2 linked regions of the Rattus norvegicus genome follow. The protein of the gene in region 2 purifies or fractionates together with the protein of the main gene of each other region. This does not show direct contact. Links are inferred from orthologs where the notes say so. Each region holds a gene or a part of one and is shown on either strand. Other genes may lie near its edges. The genes, in order: Cdk14 and Ccny.

Region 1 (4,605 bases), on a different chromosome or scaffold from region 2:
GGTACTGATCCTCGCCATGTGAGATAATGTATCAGATAGTTTTATTTTGTCTCACTTAATCTCCACAATTATACAACGACATGCAGGTGAAGAGGCAAGAGTTTAAGGGAATTACTGGTTGCCCAAGACGTGAGGGAAACAGAGGGCCAGGCCCAGAACTGTCCAACTCCAAAATCTACCATGTTTTCAGGATGCTATACTACAAATCTGTGGCCACTTCTTCTTTCCTTGCTTTCTACCTATAATACCATCATGTCGAGACCATCTAATCCCTAATAATGACAGCACGTTGCAAACATTTGTTGAGTTTTATAGCATTGCCACACAAGACACTGCATCATCATTTCACCAAGTGCCAAAAAAAAAAAAACAAAACAAAACAAAACAAAACCACAGAACACATTCCTTGCTTATGAATTATATGAACCCATAGAAAACTCTCACGGCATTGCCTCTCAGTCTTCAAAAATAAAAAAACCCTTCGGTCATCAAATGAGTTCACCGCCTCTGAGTGTGAAGGAAATCGGAGAAGATACGTTTTCCAGTAGTGCCCTTCCTAATAACTATCCTGGGTTTGGTGCACACACAACAAAAATCACTTAAAAATGTCAATATTTTCTTTCACAATATACCACAGTAAGACCTGCTCTTCTGAGTCCTCTTTCAATAAAGAGATGATCAGCTTTCTTTACTGAGCCGTTCTGTTTCGTAAAGAATGGATATAAAAGCCACATAATCATACCAGGCATTTCTGAGAATCAATAGACTCAAAGGGGAGCTTTCACATCACTAAATCTCAATAATCTGGGAAGCCCAATTAACTATAATATCTATCTGCCAACACTGCAGTTAACCGGAATATTACTGACGGGCCATCAAACCCTAAAATTATTTAAACATACAAGATTTTTATATTAATGCCCTTTGTTTCTCACTGAGACTCAACTGCAATGAATTATTTAAGAGAAAACTGGAGGGGCTCCAACGGAATCATCAGCATTAGTAAATATCTAGCTAATGTGCTGTAGAACAGGCCCTAATGGACTCCAGAACCCGCCTGGGTGGTGTTTTGAATCCAGCCCTGAAACATCCTTGTTAATAATGCACAGGCTCCCCACCTCACTCTCACACTCCTCTTGGCTTCAAACTTGACTTGAATGTAGGACTCGACACTCACGTGCCTAACTCAGAAAAGTGGGTCCGTTGTATATTCAATACATGTGATTAGAAAAGGCATGACGAATGTGCATTCTGCACATAACTTAACAGCGTTCTCAGGAAAAGCAAAATGTCAAACAAAATTGACAATAATGATAATAATAATAATGATAATGATGATCTTGACTAAACGTTTATCCATGTTTATTTGAAGACAGTTTGCATGTACGGATAATGAGCTATGAAACAGACTGCTGACACTCACTGGCACATCATGGTTTTATTTTAAGGAACTGGCTTATTTTTAATTAATTAACTTTTATTAACATAACAGGTGAACCAAAGGCCAGAAGGTATGCTTGGACACTCTGATGGGTTGGTTTGGGGCTTATAAGAATCCCTTGCTTTGCGCAGTTACCCGTATCAAAGAAAGTTAGCGACAAAAGTTTAGATAGCAGGTATGCCTTCAGGTTAACAGGCGCTCTCTGCCACCAACACTCAAGATTTAACAAACCCCTTCCACATGACACAGCTGTCATCTTGCTGTAGCCTGTAATGTGGATTCATTCTTTAAGTATCCTAAACATTCCTCGATCCTTTTTTCTTATTGCTGTTTGTTTATTCTCTGTTAAATTGGTTGGTTGCTTTTTAAAGAAGACAATAGCCTCTGGACTGCACTAACAGTGCAAGTTCATGAGACTTATTCTAAATGCCCCCACAACTTCACAGCTCGCATTTCACCATAGCAGCTAGAAGGTTCAGAGACCTACAAACTGAACACCCAAACCTCCATTTATAGGACCAGAAGTACGGAACAAAAGGTCCCAAGGTATCTGTCCCACTTCCTTTAGGTTGAGTACGTTAAAAAACATCAGGCGCCTGTCAACGTTTCGACAATTCCCAAAGCTACATTATTGGCTAAACACCTAATACCAACGCTCTTTAAACAAAACAAAAACAAAAACAAAAAAAAGTAACCTGGGTGGCCACAGAGCCCCGATGGCGGTGGGGACCTGGTGTCCCCTCTCCAGTTCACTGTAGGCGCCAAAGATACTATTGGCGGGGAGGAGGAACTCAAATTGGAGGGTTGAGACAGTCCACGAATGAAGCTCAGACCGTGGGGGAGAGGGGTAGCCCTCCAGCTTATCCCTGCCCTGCCGGGAGTCCCCACCGAGGTCCTCCTCCATCCCTGTCCGCACCTCACCCGGAGGTGGCAGCTGCCTGGCTGGTGCCCTGAGCACGGAGAGGGCGCGGGGACCGAGGGAGCGAGCCCGGGGATCGCCCGCAGGACACCGGGGTACAGCGGACCACACTCACCGATGCGGCTGAAACTCTCGGACAAAGTTCTCCTCAACTTCTTCATCTTGCCGATCTTCTCGGCCGGCTGCGGTTCAATGAGGTCGCACATCTGGGCGACGCGGGGCCCGGGCAACTTCGCGAAACTGGTCCAGCGCAGCGCAGCGCAGACAACGGCGGGCGAGGGCGCGCGGCGCGGGGAAGGCGGCGCCTCGTCCTGCTCCTCCGCCTCCTCGCGGGCCGCGGGCGACGCGCAGCGCTCGCCTGCCTGCGGGGCTCGGGCCTGGGCCGAGGCTGGGCGCGCGGGGGCGTCTTACGTGGTGCCGGGGGCGGCCGCGATCCCCGCCGCCCGGGGGCCCCCGCGCTGCGCCGCTGCCCGCCGCATTTTCCCTCCTTTGTAAGCCAGAGCCGCGCGGCCGCGACCGGAGACGGGGGCGGCGCGGCCGAGGAGGCGCAGGCGGCTGCAGGCGAGGCGCGCGGGACAAGTTCCCCAGCCCGAGGGGCGGCGCTGCACGGAGACCCGCGACTGCCCTGGCCAGAGGCCTGGCGCCCGGGACCCAGGCGCGACCCCGCGCCGCGTTCCGACTCCGACTCCGAGGCCTCCGCCGCCCTCCCGGACCCACCGCGCCCGGGCGGCGCCCCCTCCCGGCCGCCCGCGCTCCGCCGGCCGCGGCCGCGCTCCTCCCGCGCGCTCCGGGACCGCAGCCCACGGGCAGACGGACAGACAGACGGCCGGCCGCCCTGGGCTCCCGGCCGACCCTGTCCACCCGGTGCGGTGCGATCCTTGTTGGCCCCGACCCGGAAAGGTTGGGGAGTGTCGGGCGCGGTGCACGAGTGCCTCGGGGACGCATTCGGGTTTAGTAGAGACTTTTTGGGGTGGGGTGGGGTGGGTGGTTTTAATTTACAGGGAAAGTGGGTGCTCCGAAGGCCAGAAGAGGCCTGATTTTCATTGGGGTACAATGCAAAAGCTGAAAATGGCCCCCTGGAACTTCCAGAAGGCAGGGTGTTTTGCCTCAGCCCTGACTCTGGATGACAGGAATGTCTCAGAGATTCCTCAGAGGGATACTCAGGTCATCAGTAAATTTACTACCTTTTGTCACCTCCTTGCCCTACTTCAGTGAATGAACTTGAAAAGGGACTTAAGGGTGGCTTTTTTTTTTAAAGTCCCGGGACAAACAGTTCCGGCAGAAAACACAGTCTTTTTTTTCCCCTAATAAATGAGGTACTCCAAACGTCAGTCTCCCAGGGGAGGGTGAAGGAAGATGGGGGAAGGCCTGTTGTACTGATTCTGGGCCAGCAAAGTCCTTATGAATAGAAATGTTAGTGATCTTGAGTCATCTGGCTGTGTAAGCAATAGGAGCTTTTGTGGGCGTGACAATGCTGTTTGGTTTAAAGGAAGTTTTGGGGAGTTTGTGTTTTGTCAAAAGATTTTTATCTTAAAACAAAAACTAGCCCCCTGCCTTCCTTAAATTGTGAGGTAGAACACGGATTTGTTCCGCCCTGTGCTGAGCACATTACAGGGTTTTGGTAGATTGCCACTGATAAAAGGCAGCTAGCTAGTCAAGCCAAGCCCCTAACAGAGGAGAGAGCCAAGAATTCATGAGCAAAGTCAAGATAGTTTAAACGCAGGGATGTTGGATCCTGACAGCCAAATCTCAATAATTACAGAAGGCATCAAAGTGTGACCTGATACAGGAAAAAAAAGTTTTAACATTTATCACGTGGTCAGATCAATTAGAAAATTAGCAGTTACAACTGAACACACACAGAGAGAGAGAGACAGAGAGACAGAGAGACAGAGAGAGACAGAGACAGAGAGACAGAGACAGAGAGCCAAACACTGATAGGTTCTTCCAGCTAACAAAGACGAAAAAAAAAATCGTCAAAGATAAAAATTTAGAGTGCTATACTTATGTGGTCACACTGCTGTCCATTTGGAAAAGGCCAGTTTGAGTAAGGACACAGGCCCAGTGTGCTTGTCCTCACACACTGTGTGTATGTGTGCATGGACCTGCACGTGAATGCATATGGTATCTTTTCTACCTCCCCAATATCTCTAATTTTCTAATCTTTCAAAAAGCCAACTTACCATCTCTGCATACAAAGCTATTGTTCGTGACCATTTTTTTTAAACTAATGGAAACTTGAGTT
Region 2 (4,548 bases):
CAGGCTCTTCAACAAATAAATATTGCTGGCAAACTGGCTATGTTCTTCTGCCATACAGAAGAAAACTAGACTCATGTGTCACCACATACAAAAAGATAACTCTAAACAGATCAAAGATTTTATTTAAAGACCTGAAACGGTAAAATTCCTAAGGACAAAGTAGAAAAAAATGTTTAAGATTCCAGTATAGGCAAATACTTCTAAACAGAACACCAGTCTCTCAAGAAATAGAACAACTGATTCTCATGAAGATAAAAATTATCGTAAGAACACTCAAGAAAATAACTGCTCGAAGAGACAACTTACAAAATGGGAGGAGTCTTTGCCAGGTATACAAATTACAGAGTTTAAAATCTAAAATGCACAAGAACTCAGAAACCTCATCACCTGTGATCAAAAACTAAACCACCCAATCAAAGACTGGTCTAATGAATTAGAGAAACAATTCCCAAAAGATGAAAAAGATGAGGTAGAAACTTGCAATAAGTGTATGAACGCAAACATGTTAATGCACACCTTTAGTCCCGGCATTTGGAGCACAAGCAGGTAGAGCTCAGCGAGTTTGAGGCCAGCCTATCGTACACATTGAGTTCCACATGCAGAGATCCTGTCTCAAAAAAAGCACAAACAAACAAAAAACCCAAAACGAAAACAGACAAACAAAATAACAATGACAATAAAAAATATAATATATTTAACATCACTAGCAGGAAACACAAATTACAATGAGGTTTTTTTTTTCCTTCTCACCTCAATAAGAATGGCAATTACTAAGGAAACAAATAACAAATGCTGGTGAGGAAGCAGATAAGAGGAACCCCTTTACACACTAACAGTGAGAATGGATACTAGTCTAGACTGTGATAGTCAGAATGGGGATCAATGGAAAGCAGACCTACCTTATGACTCAGTATACCTCTAACAGGTATCTGTTCAAAAGTTTAAAACACAAAACAAAACAAATTAAAAAAACATAAAAATACTGGCATATCCACGCTTACTGCACCACTGCCCACTAATTGAGGAATGGAAAAAAAAAACTGTGTTTTATATACAATGAAATTCATTTCTGCCATAAAGATGCAATTATGTCTCTGAAGTAAAATGGGTACAACTGTAAATAATTATATTAAACAAGTCTCAGAAGGGCAAATCATTTTCTCTCGCTTGTGAGTGAGAGACATAAAATGCTGTTATGTGGAGTGGCCTGAAAACAGATGCAAAACTGTGTGTGAAAATGGCCTAATGTAAACCTGTATAATAAAAATAAAGTATTCTTTAATGCTTTTTGCTTGTCAACGCTGTTAGCAATATTCTACAATGGACGTGTTCACTTCTTCACTCTGCCCTTGAAAATACAGTTTTACTATGTGTTTGGGAGTTCTTACTTCAATATTCTTCTACATGTTTTTAAATGTGTAAATGGGAAACTGCAGTTCAAAATCACCTAAAAAAAAAAAAAAAAAAAAAAAACGAGCTAATGGACACATAAAATGACACCAGAGGGGCTGAAGAAATGCCTAAGTGATTAAGAGTGCGCCTTGTTCTTCCACAGAACCCGAGATAGGTTCCCAGCACAACCACCTGTAACTCCAGATCGTGACATACACCACCTTCCTCTTACCTCAACTGCCACACACAGGTAACACACTCTCGAGTGCGAGTGTGCACTTGCACACACGAATACACAAATTTTAATAACACTAGAAAAATCACGTAGTGCCAGAACTTACTATAAACTGTGAGTAACCTTATGATACTTGTTTAATAAAGCTGCTGTCCCTAACATGCAGACACTATTTATATAAGAAACAAGAAGAAAACTCTTCTTAGCATTCAAATGTAGCCTTTCACGATTGCAAGGAATACTCCACTCCAAAGGCAACAAGAATGAGTCAATACCAGTTATCAATTCATTCATATAAGAAAAATTATAAGTGAATTTAACTAGATTATTTGTGTGAGGATTTTCGTAAAAACAACAAAAACGAAAAACAAGGCCTAAAGATATTTCCAATTTAATCTTTTAAGTAGGAAATTATATAAACTGTATTTTATGCCCAGTATACAATGAGTTTGATTACAAAACAATACTCAGAAAGATACTGCAAAACCAGTTACTAGGTGCAATGATGCCTCTTTTAACTTTTTTTCAAATACACAAGTTGCCCAGACAAATCTGAAATTCGTAGGACTATAATTCTAGCCCATGCTAAAACTAGATCACTTAACTTACAGTCGACTGGTATTTTCTTTTTTAAACATTCTGAGGTGTACCTTTTACTTCAACCAGGCAAACATACCCATAAAGTATTTATGTGTTTGTGCACAGGACTGTATATACTCGCATAGTACATATGTTTGCATTTGTGCCTATATAGTCACAAGCATACTCCCTTGGGCCTAGTTTAGTTTTTAATTGGAAAAGGGGTAGAGTTGTCTGGGGGAACCCAGGCCAACTCCAGTCAGGTAAAGACTGTCACAATTCCTTTTGGAAAGAGCAAATACCACCGCCACCCTAAACATAACTCTGGCAACATCCCAAAAGCACACAGCCTGGGGCCTCCCATGCCATCCCCGGGGTGCACACGCATGTAGACGCACCCCAGCACACACATGCCACACGCCCTCCCTGGACCTACTGGACCTCCCCAGCCGTGGCTAACAAAATTTCCACCATTCTGTGAGTGCAGCAGAACCGCAAGGCTCCAAGTCCTGCAGGGAGGGAAAGGGGAGGGAGAGGGAGAGGCCGAGGCAGAGGCGGAGGCGGAGGCGGGCGCCACTCACCGTCGATGTTTTCCCGGTCGCTGATGTGCTGCAGATTGCAGCCAGTGTCCTCGCGGCTGAGGTCCGTGTCCGGGCGGTAGGACTCCAGCCGCGAGTGCGCATTCCTCCGGAGCTTAGGGCTGGACGACACGCAGCACGAAGTTGTGTTCCCCATCGCTGACCACCGGGCTGGTAGTCCCGGGGCGCGGGCGCAGGCTCGGGCGCAAAGGCAGGCCGCCCGCGCCCCGTGGAGGGCGGAAACCGCGCCGGGCCCGGGTCAGCAGCGGCGGCGGCGGCGGGGCCGCGCCATGGACAGCGGCAACGAGCAGGCGGCTACGGCGACCGACAGACAGCGGCCACGGCTGCTACGGCCTCAGCCCCTGGGTTGCAGCGGAGGAGCCTGAGTCTGCGACTGCGGCCCCGCGCAGAGCTCACCCCGCCGCGGCCATGGCGGGCGGCGCCGCGCAGGCCGCCTCCCACCGCGTTCTTGCTCAGCGCCCGGCTCCCAGCCGCGATTTCCGCAAGCTGTTCCGGTTCACGCCGGGGACTCGCGAGTGCGCGCGGACACAATGACGGGACCGCAGGAGCTGGAGCGTCCGCGGCGCTGCACGGTGAATCTTAGCTTGCCGGCCGGGTTTCGCGAGCCCCGCCCCACGCCTGCACACGTCGGCCCCGCCCCCTCCCCGCGGCCACGCCTCACGCCCGCTTGCTTCGCTTCCACCTTTGTGCTAGGACCCCGCGGTCTACACACAGCCCTTTTCCTTCCCACTGCTTTGGAAGCAGATTCTCCAGGCGTGAAAGTGCGCAGTGGCCGGCACCCTGTCTAAAAGTCTTCGCCTTCTAGACGCCAATGCGGCTCTCCGCTCTTCCGCTCTTGAGTCTCAACGGCAGGAAGTAGATAGTGGCCCTAGGAGCCACGAGAGGGCGCGCACTGGAGGGGGGCCTTGTTGCTGCCTCTTGAGGGCGGCCGGCCAGTGTGTTGCTAATGTTAGAAGGAGTTCCCAGTTGAGTTAGGAGCTCATCTCCTGTCAATCTCTTCGGAGGACTTGGGAGTCAGCCTGGGGACAGGAGCTGAAGTCATGACGAATTAACTGTAGTGTTCTGAGTTTTTGGACTACACTTGTTTTATGTTTCACCTGCCGTAGATTTTGTGCGTGGGTTGACTCGTGAACCAAGATAAACGTTGAAAAGATTTAAGATGAGGAAAGCCACTTAAATCCTTTCCAAATAGTGAAGGGTACTGGGGCCCTTCTACCATCCTCAACCAGGCATAAACAGGTGTAAGTCACGCCTTTAAAGTAGGGCAGTAAAGACGGGAGCATCAGGAGTTCAAAATCTTAGTGAAGGAGTCAGTAAAGGGGAGGATGTGCATGATCTTCTCTGTCCTAACCGGAGAAATGAGGAAATGATACCAAACATTAGCCATCTGTACCTGTCTTGTACTCTTGTGCAGTCAATCCATCCACCGCTTAGGGGTATTCATACATTGTTGCTCGACAAGCTGTGCGGAGGCTCGATGCTTAGCTGTAATAATGTCATATGTAGACTTACGTGACAGAATGCCATGGGAAATGATGGCTGAAGAGTGGTGGTGCTGACCAAATGAGAGAGAAAACAGTAAAGGGAAGTTCTAGAAAATTCCAGCTCTGGGGAATAGGAGGGTGGGAGTGGGTGGGTTAGACAGCATCAAAACAAGGCTATACTGACCTTCCCAGTGTGAGATGTAAATAGAATGTACTATCTTTTCTCCCAAAGGATAAAATGAGACAAAGGAAGTTCCAT

What was found.
Region 1: the proteins of Ccny (region 2) and Cdk14 purify together in Homo sapiens (affinity purification with western blotting; 3 studies listed by BioGRID and IntAct, with this or other methods). This does not show direct contact. The link is inferred for Rattus norvegicus from reciprocal best matches to the Homo sapiens genes CCNY and CDK14.

Annotation. Positions count from the first base shown.
Region 1 is NC_086022.1:29,619,681-29,624,285, reverse strand, and holds the start of Cdk14 (cyclin-dependent kinase 14), read right to left. Parts: upstream 3,070-4,605; 5' UTR 2,567-3,069; coding exon 2,476-2,566; intron 1-2,475. UniProt on the Homo sapiens protein: Serine/threonine-protein kinase involved in the control of the eukaryotic cell cycle, whose activity is controlled by an associated cyclin.
Region 2 is NC_086035.1:62,204,840-62,209,387, forward strand, and holds the start of Ccny (cyclin-Y), read right to left. Parts: upstream 2,942-4,548; coding exon 2,788-2,941; intron 1-2,787. UniProt on the Homo sapiens protein: Positive regulatory subunit of the cyclin-dependent kinases CDK14/PFTK1 and CDK16.